Linked DNA regions of Arabidopsis thaliana. The protein of the gene in region 2 purifies or fractionates together with the protein of the main gene of each other region. This does not show direct contact. Each region holds a gene or a part of one and is shown on either strand. Other genes may lie near its edges.

Region 1 (6,514 bases), on a different chromosome or scaffold from region 2:
AACTGCTGCTGCTGATGTTTTTGTGAGATATGAAGTAGAAAAAGAAAAGTTAAAAGAGCTTTTTGCAAAGCATCGTGGTAGAGTTTCTTTTACTTCGGACTTGTGGTCAGCTAAGGCTAGTATGACGAGTTATATTTGTGTAACTGGGCATTTTATCGATGAAGGTTGGCATTTACACAGTTATATTCTAGATTTTTGTGAGTTGAAGTCTCCGCACACTGGTGAACATATTGCTAATAGGATTCTTGATTGTTTAAAGGAATGGGGACTAGAAAAAAAGGTACTTTCTATGACTCTAGACAATGCTACCAATAATAATAGTATGGTGAAAATCCTCAAGGGTCAGCTTCAGATGATTAGTGGCAGTGGTTTGTTATGTGATGGGAAATTTCTGCACATTAGATGTTGTGCTCATATTCTTAACATCATTGTCAAGAAAGGTTTAGAGTTAGCTAAGGATGTTTTACACAACATTCGAGAAAGTGTTTTATATGTTAAAGCATCTCCACAGAGGAAAGAGGCATTTGCAGCCTGTGTAGAGAGAGTGGGAATAAGGAGTGGGGCAGGGTTATCTCTTGATGTTCCAACCAGATAGAACTCTACATATGAAATGCTCGCTAGAGCATTGAAGTTTAGAAAAGCATTTGATAGCATGAAGGCTTTTGACACCAATTATAAGTCTTTACCATCAGATGATGAGTGGGATCGTGGTGAAAAGATTTGTGACTTGTTGAAGCCATTTAGTGTAATCACTACTTATATTTCAGGTTCCAAGTATCCGACATCGAATGTATACTTCACCCAAGTATGGAGGATTGAATTACTATTGAAGAAGTACGTCACTTGTGATGATGAGGATATAAAGCAAATGGCTATGGAAATGATATTGTCACTTTAAATGGGGTGGGTTTAATTGGGGTGGGTTAGCCCATATTAACATGACTACTCACTTATGTGGTTTGGGCATAAGTGATCTTATTTCTTTATAACAACATCACTGACTTGGTTTAATTCATGTGTAAAACCAGGAAGTCATCGACACATCTGGAGGGTAAAGTCTTATGATCACTATACCATTTATTCAATCATCGACCTTTGACATCTCATCTCCAGTTTTCAATTTAAACTTTACCCTTTTTTCCCAGCTGTGGCGCGAGTTTTGTGGTTGAGATTATCTCGGAACAGTTTGAGGGGAAGAGATTGCTCGAGAGGCACCGTATTGTGAACGCTGCTCTTGAAGAAGAGATGAAAGAAATCCATGCTCTCTCGATAACGAAAGCTCAAACTCCGCAACAATGGAAGCCAATATCACAAGACTCTGCAACAACTCCAACCACAGAGGCTTGAAGACAAAAGAACAACAAACATAGCTGAAAAGCTGTATTTTACTTTTACTTTGTTCCATGGTAGCTAATAAGCTTGAACTTTTATAAGCATCTACGGCGAAATAACTTATGAATTTGAATACATTACTGGCTGTTTATCATCTGCATAATCGAAATTCAACATCTTAACAGTCACAAACATTCTCTTTGAAAAAAACAGGAGCAAAGATCTTTACTCTTCCTTCTTCACCTTCTTCTTGGACTTTGCTGATCGTTCTGAAGAGCCTGAAACCGTACTTGTTGAGCTCCGATGTTTACCTGAGGAAGACTCTGAATTTTTTCTTTTTGGCGACTTTGGAGTCTCGGTGAAGCCAGAGAACATGCTCTTCTCTCTGCTGCTACGTGTGCCGCTTTTATGCCGGCTGCTTTGAGTAAGGTTAGATGATTTCTTAGAGGAATTCGTCACTGATCCGACAAGCTTCTGTTGTGTTCTAGCCTTCATTTTCTGAAGCAACTCGTTTGGTTCAGGGTAACGAACTAATGCAACTCGCCGAGTAATCTTCCCAACTATCATAAAACGAACAACAACAGAAGAATCATTATTAACGAAACAGGTGGTAAAACAAAACTGTGTAAACTGAACGACCAAAACCTAAACAAGACACAACTGTAAAGTAATGGGAATATACCAATCATTGATTCTTCAGAAGGTATAATCAACTCTGCACCAGCATCTTGAGAATGAAAGCTAGCAAGATCATACTTTGCACCTAAACAAAGGTGTAATGAGCCAGCTTTTGGAGATCAAAACTAAAATATTAAAGAGTATGAAAGAACACAAAACATAAACATACCATTTGAATCCTTGAATTCTCCAAATAACCCATCTTTGTCTGGCTCAATCTTAAGAGTGTTCTCTTCGATTTCTGGAAACTGCGATAAAGAAAAGTCATTTAGCTGTAGAACATTACATGAGGATCAAATTTGCAATAAAGAATCATTCTCTAAACATACTTGGCCTAAAGGGGCTTGGATAAGCCAAAACTCATCAGAACGCGTCAAATCAGTGTCATCTAGCTGCTCTGCGCCACTGACTATGAAATCTCCGGAAACTTTGAAATCGAAATCCATCTCTGCTCAAATCAGCTCTCGCGATTTCACAAAACCTGCAAAATCGAGAAAACAAGTGTTAAATATAGCGAGAGCTTTAACATATATAATAAACAAAGCTTTTGAACAAACTCAAACTCTGTCAAAATCGCAATTATAAATCTCTTCAAAAGACATAAATTAGTTAGAAAAATCAAGAAACTGGATGCAAATCGGAACGAGAAAGCTAAAGAGAAAGAAAGATGGCTTCGTCGGCGGCGGAAAAGAGAGAGAATCGTTACCGGAGAAATAGCAATTCGGCGATGACCTAAAACCCTTCCCAATTTATTTCTCTGTTTTATTTTATTTTGAAGTTCACTCAAAACGACATAGTTTAGTGAATTGGCGGGTGGAAAAGACATTTGGGCCATAATGGGCCTTTAAGTGACAGTACTGAAGAAGAAAGCAATGGTGATGGATGATTCAGTAGCTCTTCACTGAAATCTCATAAACCCTAAATCCCCAAAATGGAATAATCAAAATTTCATCAGGAGATCTCTAAAATCGAAATCTACTTGATCCCGCAACGAAGAAATGTTAAGAAGAAGACTCTTGTCGATCATATCAACATCACTCATCAATTCTTCGTTTCATCAAACCGCGAAACCCAGATTCATCATTTCTTCACCACTTCTTCAATGCCGTCCTTCTCCGATCTCTACTCAAATTCCGACCTCTACGAGCAGGGCTTTGTCGTTTCAAGGAATCAGGGCTTATAGTTTATTGAGCTTGAACGATCTGAGAGACAATGTGCCGAGAAAACTCAAGACGAGGAAAGGAAGAGGTATTGGGTCTGGTAAAGGTAAAACTGCTGGAAGAGGTCACAAGGGGCAAAAAGCGAGAGGAACGATGAAGTTTGGTTTCGAAGGTGGTCAGACTCCACTACGACGTCGTTTACCCAAACGTGGCTTCAAGAACAAATTTAAGCTCCATTTTCAGGTTCAAGCTTGTGCCTTTTAGTTCTGGGATTTTCATTTCTGAGGTCAAGTTTCGGATTTTGTAGCTTCCCTTGATTCGAAGGGTTAACATTTGTGATTGATTCCTTAGATTAGGTCGAATTTGAGAATCTAAATCAGATGGATCACTCTTGTTCTTCTTTCTGTATGCCATTATTGCTGTTCTTTAGCTGCTTGTGGTGAAGTAGGTTATACTGTGTGTGTAAGGATTTAGGATTTGACACTCTATTGATGCAGCGACTAAAGATGTTTATGATTGTTTTGTGATGCAGCCGGTTGGTCTAGGGAAGATTGCTAAACTCATAAACGCTGGGAAGATAGATTCTCATGAATTGATTACAATGAAAACGCTCAAGGTTCGGTCATACTTCACTCTTTGATTCAACGGTTTAAATTGAGTTTAGGATTCTTAATATGTCTGATTCTTACTGAACACATTAACGTCGGTTTGCAGGATGTGGGAGCCATAGGAAAGCAAATAGAAGATGGAGTAAGACTAATGGGTCGTGGTGCTGATGATATCAAATGGCCACTTCATTTCGAGGTTTATCATTTGCGTTATTAACTTTTGCTCTGTAGTCTCTAGAGCCGTTGCACCAGTCAATGTATTTGCTTAGTTAGATGTTCAGTTGATCGGTATGAGCGTGTTTATTACAGGTTTCGAGAGTGACGGTTAGGGCCAAAGAGGTGGTGGAAGCAGCAGGAGGATCAGTGAGAAGAGTGTATTACAACAAGTTGGGCTTAAGGGCATTGCTTAAACCGGAATGGTTTGAGAAGAAAGGAAGGTTATTGCCAAAAGCAGCGCGACCACCTCCTAAACAACAAGATAAGGTTGATAGCATTGGACGTCTTCCAGCTCCGAAAAAACCCATTCCCTTCTTTGCAGCTGAGGAGACCAAAGTTGAATCTCCTGTTGAATCATAATTTTGGGCTGCCATTTAACGTTTGATGTTTCTGTTTAAGTTGTTTGTGTTGTTTCTTGGTCAATGTTCACCACTAGAAAATTGAGAATGTCGGATTTTAATTTGACAAATAAGGTCTTTCTCGTTTTACTTTATCTGTAGTTGGCCACAACAAGTTATTCAACCATTTTCAGACTTGTTGTTTGGGATCAAGGCCTGTTCTTGTAGAAGGTTGAGAAAACCAGAGAACAATCACGTTAGATTTGAATTCATTATTATCCGGTTTGGTTGAGGCGTTGTTAATGTTAATGAGTTCAATGGTAACTTTGCTTTTTTTGACTAAAGATGCTAAAATCTGCAACTGCAAATATATAGGTTATGAGATTATGTCCCTTTTTTGCAGTGTTATTTTACCAAAACGATGTGCGAAATTTACCTAATTTATCGAAAAGGGGCTATGATTGTCTGAATTTGAACAACCGAACGTGATTAAAGAAGAAGAAGATAGATTTCGAGGTTTCAGAACTCATTACTCTTAACAAACATGTAATGATGAGTACTGTACTGTTAATTATAGCATTGATTATATTAAATAACTACGAAAAAAAAAGAGTACTCGATTGGTATTTTATTATCAAATAAATATGTAATTAGATCGGTTTATTTGTCTTTAAAAATGATCATTACGTATTTGTTTAAAATCAAGTGCAGTTCAATATCATACACTATATTTTAAAAATGTTTCTGTTTATCTTCTTCTATTGATCACACCTTTCTGATCTTATGTACCTATTGATGATCACCTTCCGGCATAAATGTCACGTTTAATGTCAAAATAAATTAAATGGCTATAGAATTAGATGCAACCTTGGTCCATCACATTGACAAATCACAATAGACATTTCAAAGACATTATTGGTTATCATTAAAACAAATCGATAGATCCCAAGAAAAAAGTCGATTATAAATCTCAAGACCATTCTACATCAGACTTTTTAGTTACACCATATATTTCAAACCTCTTTAAAGTTTAAAGATTTGATCTATTCTTTTACAAACACACATACAAATTAGTCCTTGTGATATAATATTCAAAGTCAATTTTCGAACTAATCATAAACTTTTTCAGATAGTTAAATTATTATTATAATAACAAGAACACGTGTATATCATGAGGATGATCGGCTCACACACTTTGATACGTGCAATATTACAAATTCGAGCTATCCAAAAAATAATACAACTTCCAATTACAATTTCATAATAATAAATCATATGTTTAGCCTTGTCGACATTAATCAAACAAAAATAACCATTTTCTTGGCATTACCAAAAAAAAATAAAATAAAAAACATTTACACCAACTTAAAACTCAAAAGCAAAGGGTAAAAGAGAGGAACCGGAATGAAAGAAACATATAACTAATTAAAAGAAAGAAAGAAAATAAAATTCAAGACCTTTCAAGCTTTTTCTCACGGAGAAGATCGATGCCAACTAAGTAAACCAATATCATTGTGTTTTCTGGAGGGACCAGAAGCTGGAACAGGGAAGTGACGTGGCAAGAACCCCAAGAACTGTTTAGTTGAAGAAGAAACGGCGTCGTTGTGCTTCTTGTGTGGTTTCGAGTTGAAGACGTTCGTGTTTGTTCTTGCTCCATTGCAGAAACCAAGAAGAAGAATGAGAAGAAGAAGAATGGTTCTAGTGAAGAAGGAGACGAAGAAACTAGAGGTGATTCTTGATCTTTGGTTTCGAGACGACATTGTTGAAGAAGAGAGGTTTTTTGTGGAAGGGTTTTTGGTGAATTTGTTCTAAATATAATTGTTGTGAAAGGACTTTATTTTTTGTTTGTTGTTGATGGGGAAAAAGGAGATTGCTGAATGAATTTGTTGACAGCAAGAAATATGGGCAGATGGAGATTGAGAGAGATAGATAGAGAGAGAATCTGACTAAGAAGAGGTTTTTGAGTTATGTTTTCGTGTGTATTTAATTACTTCTGATATATACTTTCTCTTTATTTTTTCACGAACTATTCAACTATGCAAGTAGTTGTAGACTTGTTGACAACTGGTTTTGGTCTACAAGCCGAAGAAACTGTTTGGTGGTAGATTTTTTTAGACTTATAATTGTTGATAGTTTAGGTTTATTGAAAAAATGTTGCAGGGCACAAATATTTACAGTTCTT
Region 2 (6,788 bases):
CCTTTCTTACAACATACCCAATCCATTTGAAAGGCCCACTAAAATTTTATTATTGTATCACTGGGATATTTATCGATTTGTAAATTGAAATATAAAATAAAACAATATGTAACGTAAGTTTTAAATAATAATAAATACTAAAGGATTACAATTTTATATTTGATGGCTAAATAATTACAAGATCTGAGTGAGAAATGTTTGTTTGTGAGAAAGAAAGTGAAAAATTAAAGGTAGATAGCCGTTAAGTCCACTGCATGTCGAGACGTGTTCAAAAGAAGACAGGAGCAAAACCAAAACGCTTCTACTTAATTCGCATTTCTTTAGGTAATCGATGCACAGCCCAAAAAGCTTGACCTAACGGCTATGTTTTCTTTACTTTCACCATAAATAAGCACCTCTTGAGGTTGCAAACACACACACACACACACACTCACTTCAAAAGAGTTAGTAAGAAGTTGGGGTTTGATTAACGTTTTGCATCGGAGATGGGTTTGGTCATGAGGTTTGATCTTTACCTTATGTTTGTGATGTTGATGGGTTTAGGGTTTACGATATCAAATGGATACAAGTTCTATGTTGGTGGGAAAGATGGTTGGGTCCCGACTCCTTCCGAAGATTATTCTCATTGGTCTCACCGAAACCGGTTTCAAGTCAACGACACTCTTCGTAAGTCTATTTCCTCTTCTCTACTATATATACACAATGTGTCAATATTAATGCATAGTAATTTTGATTTTTACAAGATTTTAAGTACGCCAAGGGAAAAGATTCAGTGTTGGAGGTGACTGAACAAGAGTACAACACATGCAACACGACACACCCCCTGACTTCCCTCTCAGACGGAGACTCTCTCTTCCTACTTAGCCACTCAGGTTCCTACTTTTTCATTAGTGGCAACTCTCAAAACTGTCTTAAAGGTCAGAAGCTAGCCGTCAAGGTCTTGTCCACCGTCCACCACAGCCACTCTCCTCGTCATACCTCTCCCTCCCCGTCTCCGGTCCATCAGGAGTTGTCTTCGCCGGGGCCTTCTCCAGGAGTGGAACCATCATCTGATTCAAACTCTCGTGTTCCAGCTCCAGGACCGGCTACAGCTCCCAATTCGGCCGGTTTGGTTGGTCCGGGGATGGTGGTTCTTGTGATTATGATAAGTTCTCTGTTTTGAGGGGTTTATATATTGTCGCTAGTCATTAAATTTGTGAGGGTATTAATTACTCTACCATTGAGTTTCATATTTATGTGCCTTTTTATTTGTATGTTTGAAGCATCTTGTAACCCATTTTTAATGTTTCCGCTGTCTCGTTTTTGTTCTTACTAAAGAAAATATTTAAGATGTTTTTTTGTATTGATTAGATGCGAATGTTTTTATTTTGTGTTTTAATTATGATCACACTAATATGAATATATACGACGAATATGTAGAGTTCACATAGCTCATGCAATAAAACTTCTCCACACAAACTAAAATCTTGTTGAAACATATAAATAGATCTTATACACTTTTTGTACATATAAGAATGGTTTGAACAATTTAACTTTAATCAATATATTAAACCGGTACACCGAAATCCAATAGAGAGAATATGTCAAGGAGTTAACAAAAAAAATATACTACCGCCGTCTGTGGGGATCGAACCCACGGCCTCGTGGGTAAAAGCCACGCGCTCTACCACTGAGCTAAGACGGCTATATGACAAAAAATTTAAATTATGTTAATTATTGTATGTTTTTGCAGATCAAATTACCAATGAAATAGTTGGTATTTAGGTTGTTAACTCAATCATAAAGCCGATTGACTCTTTTTTGTTGAAGAGCTTGCCTCTTGTTGTGGATGTGGCTGTTGTAAGACTAATACCAGCCCTTGGGTCGAAAGTTGAAAGTTTGATTCTGGATCTCTAATGTCTCTAGTATGGACGCTCCTGTTTGGAAGTCTTTTGTTTGGAATATGATATAGATTCATAAAAATGCGGGTATCTACTACCATTTGCTATTGACCATCAAAAAAACAACAAAGTCTCTTAACTATCTTAAAATTTTATTAGGAGATTTTCATGCGACTAGAACAAGATTTTCAAGCAGTGGATGATAAGACAAAACTGATAGGCCAACAACTTGATGAAATGGGCAATATTATGAAATAATACACAAGTATAGCTTCCACCTCCAACCACCTAAGGACCTCTAATAAATTTACCCACCAAAGGTGGTGGGACTCCGTCACAGAGCCGTGCCTCAAGGCAAAAGAAAGAAACATTCGCCTACGTCCTCAAATTTTTGAAAAAAACTTAGGAGCATATATTTTTACAAGATAACTTTAGTTTCATAGGTTTAATATTGACAAATCACTTACATTTACCTAAATAATAAAAATATAGAATTAAAAATAGAAAAATATTCACAGAATAAATAAATAAAACAGAACAAAGCATTATAAATTTAGGTTAAAGCATTCGATATAGAATTGGTTAAAAAAATTAACTTTGAATCTTTTGTCATATGACAATTTATTTTTGTAAACACTTTTACTTCTATTATTATAAGCATCTTTGCTTGTGAATTGGGGCAAATTTCATTTGGCCGCCTCCGGCAACCATTGACCTTGGCACGGCTCTGCTCCGTCACCTCTTATATTTGCTGCAATGGCACAGAGAAGAGAAATTAGTTGCTGGTGTTGATCCCTAATATGTGCTAGTTCATCATCTACATGTCCAAATCTAAATCTCATCCCTTCTCCTATCGCACGGACCTGCAAGTGTAGAAAGCAAAAACATCAACATATTTTAATAATAATTACAAAACACATTAGGTTCTTAAACTTATCAAAACTAATTACTTCAAAAAATATCTTTCTAAAAGTTAATATACCGGAATTTAATGCATTTAAACTAGAATTTTTTTTCTATAAATTAAATGTATAATAAAATCCATAAAATAAATTTTAATAAGCTCTTACTAATTAAACATAAGATAAAACAATATTATTAATTTCTCAACAATCAAATGTGGATAGAAACCAAAAAGATAAAATAAACTCGGATGTCATAGGCCCATAATCCAGCCTTTTCTCAAAGCTTAAACGTAACGGGCTCGGCCCAAATTTGGTGTGTTCATCATCTTCCCCACAAAACCTAATTTTGTTTCTTCAGTAGTACTGTAGCTTCAGATGCAACTCCTCGAAAACCCGTAGAACCGGCATTGAGCCAATCGTTTACATTCTCTGATTCATATCCTTAGCGTTTTCAGAAACAAAATGGTGGGTTGGAAGAGGAATTTGCAGACTGTTATTCGTCAAGTTGGTAGAAGAGTGAAGAACAGTCACATTTCTACAGCAAATTACTCTTCTTCTACTCGGAATTTAGAATCCCCTTTCTCACAAGGTTGACTTTTTGATCATTTCCGAAATCTAGTGTGTTTCTTAGTGGGTCTTTCAAAGGGCATGTGTTATCTGGTCTTCGTGTTTGTGAATTGTGTGTTTGAGTTGAGTTTTTTTGCTGGTGATTATAGGTTACTTGCAGAGTCTCCTGAGACCATCCTACTCCTCCAGACCACTGTATCATCATCTACAACAACTGGTAATGCATTTGAATCGACATTTCTTTTGTGTTTTACTGAGATTGGAGTTTCTTGTTTCCTGATATAGCAAATTTGTTGCTGCATTGAAAAATCGAATTTCAAAATTTGGGAAGTGAGAATGTTGCTAGTGGGAGACTATATCTGTTATCCATGTGAATTAGGCGAAGAGACTCATCTTTTGGAACTATGCGTCTCTAGTCAACTTAGGGACCTGTACTTTAGGGTATGAAATTTCAATTTGGGTATGTTTTCAGGGGATCTCTACCTCGAGACAATTGCAGGCGAGTGAAGAGCCTGTATCATCACCTTTGTCATCTCCAGCTCTGTTGGGTAGTGGAAAAGAAGAAGAGCAGAAGATTATCCCAAAGCGTCAGAAAGTTCAGGCTGTCCTCAAGTCTATAAAGCAGGTGTCTTCTTTAACTCCTAGAACAGTTTTACTTTTCAGATGATCTGCTCCATTTCGTTTAATATTTTTCCATCTCAATCTAGTTATATAATGTGCCCAACCTTGCTTGTTTTCAGAGTCCTAAGAAGGTCAACCTGGTTGCAGCACTAGTCCGTGGCATGCGTGTTGAAGATGCTTTGATCCAATTGCAGGTCACAGTCAAACGAGCTGCACAAACTGTGTACCGGGTAATCTCTGAGATCCGAGTTTACAAACAAATCACTGTTGGATTTCGAGTGTCTAGTCTAATCTCCTCTCCAGGCATTTGATAACTTTCCTCATCTAATGATACTTAGCATACAACTTGTTTTGTTAATACAATGCTTAAAGGAGTTAAATACATTATACTGCAGGTTATCCACGCTGCCCGGGCAAATGCTACTCATAACCATGGACTAGATCCTGACCGTCTCCTTGTTGGTATGTAAAACTGATTCTGGATCCCTGATTTCCTTGTTTTACATTTAAAAAGAGAACGTGATATTTTAGAGAGTTCGCCGATTGGTACTTTAAGGAAGCAAACATGATATGCCAGAACGATGTATTTCATCTAAGCTTGTGATATGTGATTGCAGCGGAAGCATTTGTTGGGAAGGGACTGTTTGGGAAGAAGGTAGCTTACCATGCAAAAGGAAGAAGCGGGATTATATCAATACCCCGGTGTCGCCTAACAGTCATAGTTAGAGAGACGACTCCAGAGGAAGAAGCTGAGATTGCAAGGCTCAAAGTTCACAATTTTAAGAAGAAAAGCAAACGGGAGAGACAGCTTGTACCACACAAGCTCATCGAGACAAGTCCAATATGGAACCGCAGAGGTACCAAAGCCAATCATCGGTCCTCAGAGTTGGTACGGTCGTCTCACTAGTATCTTTGTTCCCGCAATTGCAACAAGAGCTTCTCTGTTATGGTAAATTGCTTTTTTTTTTGGTTTTGGTTTGATATTGTATTGGAACTCTATAGGACCTGTTTGCTTCTTGTATTCAATAAACATGTTCCCAGAGAGGAAACTTCACTTAACAAAAGCGTCTCTGTTTTTCTCCATTCTGTTTCTGGAGGTGTTAACAATCATTTTGGATGTAACTTGTGTTGGAAACATGGAAAAAAATCGTCTGGATAATTTGACGAATCAAAACAACATTTATCATCATAATCCCGAAGGTCCATAATTTTTATCAGTTTGTTCCACTTCTTAATGCAATTTTTGGATATTAAAAGAATAAATGAATGAATATACATATGCATTTTGTTTGTTGAGAATATTTATTTAGTCATTTATTTAAGAAATTTATATTTTAATTTTTTATTATTAATATGATATTTGTTTTGTCACTATGTTACAACATAATTCAATTTTAATATCATTATAATTGATAGTAATAATAATAAATAACAGTCACAGGCCCCTACCATCATCCCAAAATGATTCATGCAATTTAGTCATCAAATACATACAATCTTATATACAAAAGAATCACACAGCATGTATAAACTAATAGTATAGAAATTCGATTAAAAAATACTCCCAGGCTAGTTTTTTCACCTTCCATGAAGAATAGAATCATAAGTTTGGAAGGAATTAGAATAAGAAGACGAATTCCATACATCTTGGAACGTGGGATGTTGTTGTCTGCTTCCCTCACCAGTTTCCAACAAGTAAGAGCTCTTCACTCTCTCCAACAAGCTTATTTCCCTTTCACCACCATCCTCCACTAATCTCCCTTGTTCCAATATCTGCACCACTTGTCTCATCTTCGGACGCACTCTCGGATCAGGATGCACACACAACAGTCCTATTCTCAGAGCCATCTCCACTTCCTCGACCACGAACACTCCATTCGCCTTTATTCTCTCGTCTAAACCATCAACCACTTTGTCTTTCTCCATTAGTCCCCATATCCATTCCACTATCCCTTCTCTTCCTTCCTCTATTGGCCTCCTTCCACACACTACCTCCAACACAAACACTCCAAAGCTATACACATCGGTTTGCGCTGATGCTCTCCCTGTCTTAACCAACTCAGGCGCCATATAACCCGCTGTTCCAACAACATGTGTCGTGCTAACCATCTCTTTACTAGTGTTCTGCAACTTAGCCAACCCAAAATCACCTACCCTCGCGTTCATATCCTTGTCAAGCAACACATTGCTTGACTTTATATCTCTATGTAACACCTTTGTCTCCCACCCTTCGTGTAGATACAACATCCCTGAGGCTAGGTCTCTTATCACTCTCATTCTTTCCTCCCAATTCAACATCTCGTTACAATCAAATATCCGCTTATCGACACTTCCATTCTCCATATACTCGTAAATCAATATCAGACTCTCTCCTCCTTTCTTAGACCAACCTTTTAGTCCAACTATATTCTTGTGTCTCAACCTCCCTAAGCTCGAGACCTCAGCTAAGAACTCACTCGTCGCGCCAACGCTCTCTCGAGGACTCATCATTATTCTCTTAACCGCAACTTCTTTACCTTCCAACACTCCCCTGTACACTTTAGAATTCCCTCCGTATCCGATCATGTTCTCATCGGAAAACCCTTTTGTTGCTTCCAAAACATCTTTGTATTGCACTCTGTGAGGCCAATACTCTGTTTCCCAATCTTCCACGTCTCCTTCTAGTCTCTGCCTTCGACGCCTTACAACGTAGAAACAGAGGAGCCCAATAACAGAGACTAACAACACAACACCACTAGAGACCCCAGCAATGAAGCCTTTAGACTTCAAAACAGAGTCACCTGACAATTTAAACGAAGGTAGATTCCTAGTGATC
Region 3 (5,963 bases), on a different chromosome or scaffold from region 2:
AACTCTAAAATATTAAATTGGACATTTTTGCTTTTAAATTTTTTGTTGATGAATTTGTTTATGAACCGAATAGGACAATCATCAAAATGTACAAAAGGATGTACGAGCACACCAGAATGCAATATAAAATGCATGAAGAAAGGCGGAGGGCATTGTCAAGCATATATAGGCAGAAGTCACGGCCGATTGGCTATTGAAAATTATTGTTGCTGCAATAATTATTCAAATTCTCCCATCTCCAGTCCGGTCATGAATTGATTGATCTCTTATTCTATATGTACTCTCGATTATAAGAATCAAAAACGTATGTTCAAATAATAATAACTGATATTATCTCATCCCCCCCCCTCTCATCATGTTGTTTGATGTACATGTATAAGAAAACTACATCGATCGGCTCGACTTATAGTTTTGTTTATTGTGTCATCAGGACATCGATTTTGTCTTACCTCTCTAATCTTCGCAACCAAAAAAACTACTTCTTTCAATGTTCACTTCCAAAGATGATTTTGTAAATACGAAAACTTATGCATGAAACTGTAAATACAAAATCAATCGCCAAGCATAATATAAGATCATGTATTTACTCTTTTTATATCAAGGTACATATATATTTCTGAGATTCCTACGTTTTCATGGAATATAGAAATAAATTGACTATATATATATACAATAAGATAATATTTTGGGGTGTTTTCTTTATATGTAGAGAGGATGTGCGAGTGGGGGGGAGGGAAGAAGGAAGAGTTCCTTCGACGGCGGAGGAGTTCACAAGACAAGGTGTTGCTAGCCAGACAATGATGATAAGAGATTGTAGAAGGTTTATGACGGAGCTGCAGCGGCTGCAAACGTCTCTGGTGATTCTGAGATGGAGGTGGAGAAAGTAAACCGAACTTGTTTAAAGGAAACGAATATCTAGTTTGTTTTGCACAAGTACAAACGTCCCATGTCTTTGAATCAAAATTACTGCTAGAAAGAAAAAAAAAAAAATCGACAACATCTCCAAAGTTTTATTTCAAGGACCCGAAACGACAATGCCTAACTTCCATGGATTGGTGGACAAGGCTAACGAAAGAAGAAAATATTGATTAGTGGAGAAATTGGTTGTCGTTCCCAAAAAAAGTTAGTAACTCTTACGATATGAGAAGAAAATTAGTACCTCTTACATTTTTTTTAACAAAGATAAATGTTGTGATTAGTTCTGTTTGAAAGGACTAAACCCTTACATGAAAAGTTTAACATGTTCTACATAGTTTGGATTTGTCACTTAAAATAATATTGGTGCTTAAACTCTTACTTTTGTGATAATATTTTTCTCGAGATTGTAGTAAAAGATGAAGAAAGGATATCTTGTGTAATCTGGATACAACACAATCTGGATATCTTATTGTCAATCTCTATGTATTGTGAGAAGTTGATACTAACAAGATGATTTGTGCAAGTAGATACAAATCTTGCATGTGTAAGTTGATACTCGACGATACCTTGAAACTGATTGACTGTTTGTTGATCGGATCATAACCAAAAATTTGGATAGGCAACAACACTGAACTATAGACTTTACCGGCTATCTCGACAAAATGATCATCATGACGAGATCAACATGGATCATAATCAAAGTATACGTCGTCGTACCGTTCAACTGCCACCGTATCCTGGAGCTTAGCTTCGAGGGTCGAAATAAAGTGCTCTATTTCTGTCTTCTTGAGCTTTTAACTCTTCCAATTACCGAACAATTTCCGACGAATCTCCGACGTCCGACTCCATCACGACAATGTTTAAAGAGCCAATAGTAGAACCCTAGAGGTTAAAGCAGCAAAGAAGACGATGTCAGTCAACGGGACAAAACGTACGTTGACTATTTTTATTGTCATTAACCGGATTTAACCGCGAACCAGATTGGTAGACCGGTTGGGTTTTTAAGAGAATTCATGAACTTACGAATTTATTTATTTACCTATTAAAATAAACTAAATTTGAATGAAATATAATCCCAATGACAGATAAGAATAAATAATGAAACATTTTGACTAAAATTATTATCTGACCCAAATAAGACTATAAAAAAGAAGAAAAAATCCTTGAATAATATGGAAGATTTATTATTTACATATATATATATATATGTATATACGTATGTCTATATAAATGTACATCCAAGACCACCACAAATCATTCTCAATAAGTACTGAAATATTACAAATACAAAAGGTAAGTCAAAAATAATATAAAATATTTAGAATATGTTACTAGATTTTTGTTTTTGTTATAACAATAACTTTGAAATTCGCTTTTAATAGGTTTTGAGAAGCAGGTATAGAATCATCTTGAAAGAATAACAAATAACAACCAAAATGGTTGCATCTCATCGATTACTTACGTTGATGGTGTTTGCTCTCCTCACCATACCTATGATTTCTGGTAACACATTTATTTGTTATACAAATTATATATTTTTTTTAAAAAAATTGTTCTTAAAAAACTACAGTTTTCAATATTAAACTGACCATTTTTGCTTATAAATTTTTTGTTGATGAATTTTTTATTTATAAAATCGTATAGGACTAATTTCAGATAAATGTACGGAAGGATGTAAAAGCACAATAGGATGCAATACAAGATGCATGATGAGAGGCGGAGGGTATTGTGAAAGCGCTAAAATTCACGGGGCTGTTAAAATATTTTGTTGCTGCAACAATTATTCTAATTCTCCCATCTCCAGTCCGGTCATCAATTGATTGATCTCTTATTCTATATGTACTCTCGATCATAAGATATTATTAAAAACATATATTTATATAATGATAATTGATATAATCTCATCCTGATCCAACCCCCAATCTCTCTCATCAAAATGTTTATAAGAATTCAATACATGTACACAATAAAATCCACAAGAAAAACGACAGCGGTTCGACTTATAGTTAATGTCATTAGGACATCGATTTTGTCAAATCGATCATGTAAAGTTATGTATGAAACTGTAGAATATGAAATAGAAATCTTCGTATATTGGATTTAACTACAAAGGAAATTGCATGACGTCGTGACTAACCCTGGGAAACATGTCATCTTTTGGCTACGACGGCGCATCACACACACGTGGCATCATAATCATAACCTCCGTTGATGAGACATCAAAAGTCTCAATTAACTGCTATAGGAAAATTCATCTATGGTACTTGATCTAATCTAAGCTGCAAAAATAAGAGACCTCCGAAGAAAAAATGTTGAGAAATTATGTGAACCCAAAATCAATCTCCAAGCCTAATATAACAACATCATGTATTTACTCTTTTTATCTCAAGGTATATATTCTGATATTCCTACGTTTTCATGAAATAGATTAACTATATATATATACAAAGATTTTTGGAGATGTTTTCTTAATATGTAGAGAGGAAGTGCGAGTGGAGGGAGGGAAGAAGGAAGAGCTTCTTCGACGGCGGAGGAGTTCACAAGACAAGGTGTTGCTAGCCAAACAGTTGAGAAGGCTTTTGACGGAGCTGCGGTGGCGGTAAACGTCTCCGGTGATTCTGAGGCGGATGTGGAGAAGGTGAAAGAGGCGTTTTTAGATAAGAAAGACTATAATTATAAGAAGAGACCTGAGGATGATGATGATGGTTTGCCTATCAACACGGCTAAAGGAATATAACGTATGTGCATTTGTTAGATATCACTTGTAAAGTAGTAGTATGTAATAATATGCATCATGTATCATGTATGTAATATTATAGGCTTCATGTACTTTGTATAATAAATCGAGTAATGGATAGAAGAACGGTTGCCCTTTTTCTCTCTTTTTCTTGTCTACCAATATTTGTAAGTTTACCGATTTCTTTTAGTTATGTAATTTAGCTACTACTTTTGTATAAATATAATTTACTTTGATAATTTTCTCTTTTTAATAATGCATCATTACTCATTAGTAATAATATTGATCAACCCCAAGATTTAAAGCTATTGAACTTATAGAAGGTAGAAAAACCTTAAATAATACACCTACCTAGCAAATAGCTTTTACCAATTTAGAGGTTAGAACTAGTGATGAGAGCAGTGGAATTTGACTGTTCATCATACACTTTCTGAAATAAATTGTTTTTGCAAGATTAATAAATCTAAAGATTGATGTAAAAAAAATGAAACCAATCTAGTAATTTTTGAACAAATTATAAAAAGGTAAAGGAGCCAATAATTGGGCCCAGATAAAGCCCAAATAATTAAGCTAATCTACAAAACGCTGTCGTTTAACCATTGTTCCGCTAAAAGCTTAAAACCCTTAAACGCGAATCTCAAAGATTTTCCGAGCTCTGTTCGCCGTCTTGACTACACTCGTCGACGATCTCTTTCACCGGACTTCTCCCGTCTCTGTTTCCTCAAGGTACTCGAAAACCATCCATTTCTATCTCAAACACCTAATTGAAATCTCGCGTTATGCAGCTCCTCTTTTCTTCTGAATTGATCGATCTGATTTGGTTTCAATTCGTGATGATTCACTCTCTCATGATTCATGTTATCAATCGTCTTCGTTTATTGTATCTATTGATTTCTACGGTGAATTCTGTGTGATTGCTTGATTATGATTTTGTTAATGGTTACAGAGAGATTGAGTGATAAAGGAGACAAAAAAAAAAAAGAATGAGTGGTTTTAGAGCTTTCAAAGCACAAGTGCCTATTGAATGGAGCCAGAGCTTGTACATAACCTTAGTAAGAGGTCTCCCTGGAACAAGGAAGCTTCACAGACGAACACTTGAAGCTATGGGACTTCGTAGATGTCATCGTACTGTTTTGCATTCAAACAATTCATCCATTAGGGGAATGATTGATCAGGTTCTCTTCCTTTATCTTTTTATCTATTCTCATTTGTCATAAAATCCTAGATTTCAAAATTGTGATGGTTGGTTTTGCCTCTATGTAGGTTAAAAGGATGGTTGTTGTTGAAACAGAAGAAATGTACAATGCTCGTAAAGAAGCAGAAGCCAACCACAAAGCTTTGCGCCCGCCTCTCGTTGTCAGTCATTCGAGTCCTGCAACAGATTCATCCAACATGTCTTGAGAGTACTTTCATAAGATGGTAAGCTCTTCTACCGTCAGTTCGATAAGATCCGCTTGGATATTGTAGGCGGCTTATGTTTAAGTTCTCTCTAAAGGTGTCCAGGAAGTAAACTAGTCCTAGACGCTTGATAAGAAATGTTGGTATCAGTGTGTTTGGTGCCTCTTTATGTTTTTTGTATACACTGGATACTTGTGTATGTTTTGCTCTCATTCTGTCAATCTCAAATCTATCGGTTTTTTTTTTTTTTTGTGGCCAATGTTTCAAGATTGAGAATGTGAAAGTTGATTCTCAAAAAAGTTACCTTTCAATTTGATTAATGAAAGTAGTGAGAGAAAGATAGATGCTGAAATAATCATAACTTAATATATATGTTACAGATGAAGAACCAAAATGTATGATGACAATTGTAATGTATCAAAGAATTGAAATTTGAAATACAAAACCTATACTATGCAAACTACAAATTCTACAATGCATCAGTCATTCATCACTGAGGAACGTCTGTTGGTGTGACCCAAAACATCTGACAATTCCAAGATCTTGGCTGGTAAATTTTCATGATTTGCTTACTCTCCCATTCAAAAACGCTCAGATTCTGAGGCCCTGATCCTCCTACACTTGGATCATCACCATCAATGAAATAAACTGAGTTGTCTTTGAAAAATCCTCTCTCACCTGCTAAAACAGCTATACATCTACCTTGAGGGCTCAAGAACAAAGCTTTTCCTCTCAAGCTCATCACCTTTGTCCATTCGTTAGTCTCGCGATTGAATTCGTAAATCTCGAAAGAGGTTTCGAAATCACAATCGTCGTTAAGCTCCAGCTTCTTTAGGACCACCCACAGTTCGTCGTAATCCGACTCTGCCAAGTATTTCTTGCAAGAGTCGTACCGAAACGGCGAGGTGCT
Region 4 (5,814 bases), on a different chromosome or scaffold from region 2:
TCTGGAAAATCTCTGCCTGGGTTTTCTCGGCATTGGCAACTTTTTACGGCACATATTGGGACATTGTTTTTGATTGGGGATTACTTCACAGACCATCTAAACATTTGTTGAGAGAGAAGCTTCTTGTTCCTCACAAAGCCGTCTACTACGTTGCAATCGTGAGAACTATGAAAATCAAAAGAACAGTACAATTCCTGATTGATGGTTTCCTTATAAGTTTTGTTTCTGCCTCTTCTTCTTTGTAGGTCTTAAACATTGTGTTGAGGATGGCGTGGTTGCAGACTGTGCTTGATTTCAATTTATCGTTCTTACATCGAGAAACGATGATTGCTCTTCTTGCTGCTCTTGAGATCATACGTCGTGGTATCTGGAATTTCTTCAGGTAAATTTTTGACCACGACACGATCACTAAATTCTCTTTAAACCATTTTTTACTCAAGGGTTCTTCCTTTGACGACTTGCGAACACAGGTTGGAGAATGAACACTTGAACAATGTGGGAAAGTTCAGAGCATTCAAATCAGTTCCGTTACCATTCAACTACAACGAGGAGGAAGATCGAGATAGTTAACTCTTAGATTAGATCTAATCAAGGTTTCTCCAAAGAGTGGGGTTTCAATTTTGTTTAGAACTTGCTTGTCTCTGTTTGTAATCATTAAAGAGAAGGAAATGAGCACAATGAGGCTTCGGATATAACTATCTTACCTAGGGTTATCATTGTGCTCGCTATCACAATGTGCCCAAATCAGATCTCAAACCAAAATTAGTCCATAAAACTACCAAACACGAGCTACTTTGACTATGATAAACCAAAAATTACCCTTGAAATGACACTCGAGTAAACTAAGAGGTTATTGAGACAGCGAGCGTACATGACGAGAGCTTCAAAAGCTTGTATAGATGGTTTCACGTGAATATATTTATCCATTTCGAATATATTTAGCTGTTGAATCCAAATCTAAGAGCACAAATAAAAGTGAATGAGATAATCCTACACTTTGCAACAAGCAATGACAATAACATAATTTGTCAAGAGAAGCATGAGAATATTGATCTTGCAGCATACAATAATTTGCCAAAACAGCATCAACTAAGTCTTTTATCATTCTAGTGTACTACTAAGAAAGCCAAGATTTTATCCTCTTGATATCCAACAAGGAGTAATCATATTGGAAACCATGACCAGTTGTTCGAATTGCCTTACTCAGTAGGGTTTAGCCGCTCACCGCTGCAACAGAAGAAATGTGGCAGCTTGACTCGCCCGCAACTCCTGGAAACACAAAAGAGTGTGCACTTAAACTGGCGGCATATATAAAATTCTGATACAAGTGCCCTCACAATGAGATCATGAAAACAAAAGAAGTTTTAAATCAAACATATACCAAAACCGAACAACTAGACTCATATTTTGTACCATGTTGCACACAAGTAGGTCTTTCGTCAAACATGTTAACGATACACAGTTCTAGTTACTCAAGTGCAGTTTATACCAAGTGATAGTTAGGAGAGACAATGAATCACAAAGCATATGCATTTATTCTTCAGCTGTTGCTGCAGCAACAACAACCTAGATAAACCTAACAGAATTTTTCTATCACAGCCTCAAAACTAAACACCCATACCAAACTCAACCTAATGGATATATTAAGAAGCATCAAACAGATAAAACAAGAAGAGAAGCTAATCTGCGGACAAAAAAAAAAAGAAAAAGAAGAGAAGCTAATCTCTTACCTGCAACGGATGATCACAGGAACAGGCTTAAGAGCCTTTGGACCATTTCTTATCCCTCTCTTGTGTTTAGAAATCTGCATGTTTCATCAAGAACAGCTTCAATTAACACTATCATTCTCCAAGGAGCCATTAAAAATTACACATTTTCATTCACATGTGAACCTAAAGGAAGTAAGGAACCAAATCAACTTAAACCCAAAGATACACAAGCAAATGGAAAAACAATGGACACTCAAAAACACACAAAGAGACAACATTTCTTAGATAGATTCTATAGAAGAAGCAATCTAGCACTTAGTATCTCAATTGCATAATCAACTAATAAGTCCTATAGTGCACCTTCCTAAAACCCTAGATAAACCCTGACTCCGTCAAAAAAGCTAACCCTAGATACCACAATAAATCAAAACCCTAAGAAATTTTATCATTTCAGAAGTGGAAAACGAAAGGAGAAAACTAATTAAGGGACTGAGAGTTCTTTGACCTTCTTCTTAGGCACAGCCATTAGCTCCATGGATCCATTAAAAGCAAAACTAGGAAGCCCGAACCCGAAGCTCTTTTCTTCGATCAAACCCGGTTGATTCTGATCGAACTCAGGTAAAACCAGCGGCGGCATAGAAATCGGGCGATCAAAAGCTCCGTTCAAGGGGGAAGGCATCGCAGCGACATGACTTAAGCTTCGGGTTTCCAAAATGCGACAGGACTCAACCGCGGCGCGTTTTAGCGATGTCAATCTCAACGCCATTGATGCAGTTTCTCCAAAGCTATAGCTGACGGAAGTGAAGACTAGTAGAAGAAACCCAAAAGAGGTGAAAATTTATCAAGGCAAATGTATTTACGAAACGGCTGCGTTTTGACATACGAACCATACAATTGCTCTGTTAACCGATTTTAGACCGTAATTTAGAGTGTGATGTACCCGGTTTAATTCATGAACCATGAGGTTTTATCAAATCGAGCCATTTCTGAAACCCTTGTGTCTTCGTCGTCTCTGGTAAAACAATAACAGATCAAGCGAAGAAGAAAAGTGAAGAAGCTCAGCAACAATGTCGTGGATGAAAGGTGATTTACTTTCCAAAACCAGGAGGCTTGTTGGTGGCTTAGCTACACGAGAGCCTGTTTGGCTTAAAGCCATGGAAGCGTAACCCTCTCTTCTCCCATTTCTATTTCTCCAAATGATTTGGCTCGATTGATCAATTTGATACTTCCTTATTGAATCATCCGTTAATGGGTTTCTAATTCGGATGCAATTGAATTCTAATCGCACAAAAAGTTGAGATTTTGGCATCTGTGAATTAGGATTTTGAGGGTTTTGTTGAAATGAGTGTTCTGTGATTTGGTTTTAATGGCAGATCACCACCTCCTGTGTTTCCTCGCTCCAATGGAAAAATCCAGAAGATTGTTCTCCCTGAGGATCCTTACGTTCGTAAATTCGCTAATAAGCATCCTGGAACCAAAATTGATGACCCTGCCAAGTAAAATTCTCAACTTTTTATATCTCTGCATTTGTATCAAAGATAGTTTGATGATTATGTTATGAGTTAGTTCTTCATAAAGCTTATTCTGATATGCATCACTATAGAAAGAAGTTTAATTTCAAACAATTTTGTCTTGAACCCATTACTATAAGCACGTGTCACTCTTAAATTCTGATTCAATGGGAGAGTTTCACCATTTTTCATTCTGTATCTATCTCCCTCTCATTGCATCATCTTCAATTACCTAGGATATCAGCATTTATTCCAGATCAAGCACGTGTGTATGGTTGCCGGGTACTTGAATTGAAGGAGCATGGCATCAGTGAGGGTGACGCCATGTCTGTAGCTAATGTACGTATTTTCTTTTCACAGTCTATGATTAGCTACGATACTTGAATAGATATGAATCGTAGTACCGCTGCTGTTGATGCCGTTTCTTTGAACATGGGAGATGTTATTCTTCGAACTTGCTGAGTTTGTGTTTTGATGATTTTTCAGATGGAATATCTTTCAGAGAGAAAGGAAATGAAGAAAGCATACAAACGCTTAAAGGAGCTTGCGGTAATGCAAGATAAGGATCCACCTCCTAAACCGTATCCTAGTGCCAAGAAAGGGTTAATAACTCAATCGAAGACATCCGCTAAGGATCGCTTCCAGACTCCTAGCGTCCGCAGGCTAGTTAACCAGTTGAAAAATGAGAAAGATGTGTTGCTGCAAGACAGAACCGGAGGAAGTGCTAATCAGGATAATTGGATCGACGAATAAATTACTCAAAATCATCGTTTTCTTTTTATGCACACTACTCATCCAATTTCTTTGTAGAACTGGCTTTTTTCATATATGACATTCTTTGACTACAAATGTTTTGCAACAAAACAAGTGTTATTTCCATTTGAATGTCTTTGTAATAATATCATTGGATGTTTCCTTCCATGAGGCAAGGAATTACAGAAAACCAAAATGGTTACTCTCTCTATTGATCCTACAAGCAATTAGTTTCAACATTTGTAACTTGTTACTCTATGCCAAGAAGAGTCTTCATTGCCTTCTTTTTCGATACCACTTTGCCATAAACCCCCTTCCCTAGCTTCATGATTTTCTCCATCTCCACAATGTTACTGAAACCTCCATGCTTCTTCATCATCCCTTCCACAGCCATCTTCATCAATCTCTCATCACTTCCAACAACATCAGAGACACTATCCACCACAACTTCCATTGTTGGTATCTTCCTTCCCCACCTTTTCATAAGTCTCTCTGAGTTATAAATCTCATCATAAACTCCCCAATAAGATGCTCTCAGCAACCCTTTATCTTTCCCTTTTACCTTCCATCTCTTCATCCCTTCCTCCACCATATAAACCGCGTTCCCTGCATCTACGCCTCTCTCTAAACCCATTTCAAACTCTCTAACCTCCTGGTTGGTAGCATACAAGACACTCTCAAACTTGCATCTACTGCATCCGCAACAAAACCCCCATGACTCAGCCATCTCTTTCCGTTTTTCCAATGGAGAAAGCACATCAAAGTAAGCAAAGCTAATCTCTTCCCCTGTTTTGATATCTCTCGAGGCATGAACAATCACGTAGTCTCCAACGTGAAGACGTCTTGCGTTAGGGATACACGAGTGGTTGATGAATGAAGCTAAAGTCCATAGCCCTACACCGTAATACTCTTTGTTCTTCCCCATAACTTTACCTGAAACCGCATCTTCCACCAGAGAATTCACATCCAAGATACTCAACAACTTCTCTGTATCCAAACTCTGTTTCCAGTCACCACAAGTTTCAAATGCTTCATCAGGTCTAAACAGAGCTATCTCAGGAATCTCCAGACTATCTTCACCTTGTCCAGTGGACAAAGCGGAGACAACTCGACGAGTCCTACCGCATTTTCTCACGGATTCAGTAACCTCTTCAACGAAGTTCTTCCACATGATCAACTGCGCTTTTTCCCCACACTCTCCATTTCCTAAGATCCCTCTCTCAATCGCAACCGCCTTTGTAACTAAAACCAAAGTACCAGCAACAATGTTCTTCGTAGCAAACAATCCACGCCCACTAAGCTCAGATTTCTTAATCTCAATCGACCCAATAAACTCAGCAAGCTCAGGACATTTCCCACGAAACTCACTTAAGATCCAATCAGACAAATCAAAAGCTCCAGTCTTTGCCTGAAACTCAAGCTTCTTACATTTCTCTATATACACAGTAACAGTCTCCAAGTTATCACTCGCTTGTGGATCGAGCAAAGCCGTTTTAAAACATTCCAAAGCCAAAGAGTATTTGCTCAATCCAAGCAAAACTTTACCTTTACAAAGAAGAGTCTTGAAATGAGTCTTCTCGATTTCAAGTGCTTGATCACAATCCCTCATTGCTTCCAAAAAATCTCGTAGCCTAGCTCTTGCCTCAGCTCGATTACATAGAGCCAAACAGAGAGATTTCCGGAGCTTAGCAATCGAATCCGGATCCGGGTCGGATCCACCAGTACTTGAGACTTGCCTCCGAGAGAGATCGATGAACTCCGTGTAAACTTTTATAGATTCTTCCCATTCTTCTCGAAGAAGAAGCTCCGTTGCTTTAGATCTCAAGCTCTGCAACAGCTCC

Evidence for each region.
Region 1: the proteins of AT4G28360 (region 2) and AT5G64670 fractionate together in Arabidopsis thaliana (co-fractionation; one large-scale study listed by BioGRID). This does not show direct contact.
Region 3: the proteins of AT4G28360 (region 2) and AT5G55140 fractionate together in Arabidopsis thaliana (co-fractionation; one large-scale study listed by BioGRID). This does not show direct contact.
Region 4: the proteins of AT4G28360 (region 2) and AT1G26750 fractionate together in Arabidopsis thaliana (co-fractionation; one large-scale study listed by BioGRID). This does not show direct contact.

What each region holds. Positions count from the first base shown.
Region 1 is NC_003076.8:25,850,375-25,856,888, reverse strand, and holds AT5G64670 (Ribosomal protein L18e/L15 superfamily protein), read left to right. Parts: upstream 1-2,821; 5' UTR 2,822-3,008; coding exon 3,009-3,413; intron 3,414-3,702; coding exon 3,703-3,786; intron 3,787-3,884; coding exon 3,885-3,974; intron 3,975-4,087; coding exon 4,088-4,354; 3' UTR 4,355-4,648; downstream 4,649-6,514. Other genes in the region: AT5G64680 (mediator-associated protein), read right to left, coding at 1,558-1,892, 2,015-2,119, 2,180-2,258, 2,340-2,456; IDL2 (inflorescence deficient in abscission (IDA)-like 2), read right to left, coding at 5,805-6,092.
Region 2 is NC_003075.7:14,027,386-14,034,173, reverse strand, and holds AT4G28360 (Ribosomal protein L22p/L17e family protein), read left to right. Parts: upstream 1-3,124; 5' UTR 3,125-3,247; coding exon 3,248-3,374; intron 3,375-3,501; coding exon 3,502-3,569; intron 3,570-3,824; coding exon 3,825-3,977; intron 3,978-4,092; coding exon 4,093-4,203; intron 4,204-4,368; coding exon 4,369-4,435; intron 4,436-4,590; coding exon 4,591-4,880; 3' UTR 4,881-5,191; downstream 5,192-6,788. Other genes in the region: ENODL3 (early nodulin-like protein 3), read left to right, coding at 486-666, 744-1,162; AT4G28350 (Concanavalin A-like lectin protein kinase family protein), read right to left, coding at 5,552-6,788.
Region 3 is NC_003076.8:22,376,732-22,382,694, forward strand, and holds AT5G55140 (ribosomal protein L30 family protein), read left to right. Parts: upstream 1-4,264; 5' UTR 4,265-4,381; intron 4,382-4,601; 5' UTR 4,602-4,638; coding exon 4,639-4,830; intron 4,831-4,918; coding exon 4,919-5,056; 3' UTR 5,057-5,463; downstream 5,464-5,963. Other genes in the region: AT5G55131 (Protein of unknown function (PD694200)), read left to right, coding at 74-258; AT5G55132 (Defensin-like (DEFL) family protein), read left to right, coding at 2,355-2,421, 2,563-2,738; AT5G55135 (uncharacterized protein), read left to right, coding at 3,228-3,308, 3,398-3,655; AT5G55150 (F-box SKIP23-like protein (DUF295)), read right to left, coding at 5,544-5,963.
Region 4 is NC_003070.9:9,244,081-9,249,894, forward strand, and holds AT1G26750 (uncharacterized protein), read left to right. Parts: upstream 1-2,776; coding exon 2,777-2,871; intron 2,872-3,082; coding exon 3,083-3,205; exon of another isoform or gene 3,206-3,456; coding exon 3,457-3,559; intron 3,560-3,706; coding exon 3,707-3,973; 3' UTR 3,974-4,194; downstream 4,195-5,814. Other genes in the region: AT1G26730 (EXS (ERD1/XPR1/SYG1) family protein), read left to right, coding at 1-158, 246-382, 471-570; AT1G26740 (Ribosomal L32p protein family), read right to left, coding at 1,200-1,269, 1,731-1,804, 2,215-2,475; SDG35 (SET domain protein 35), read right to left, coding at 4,224-5,814.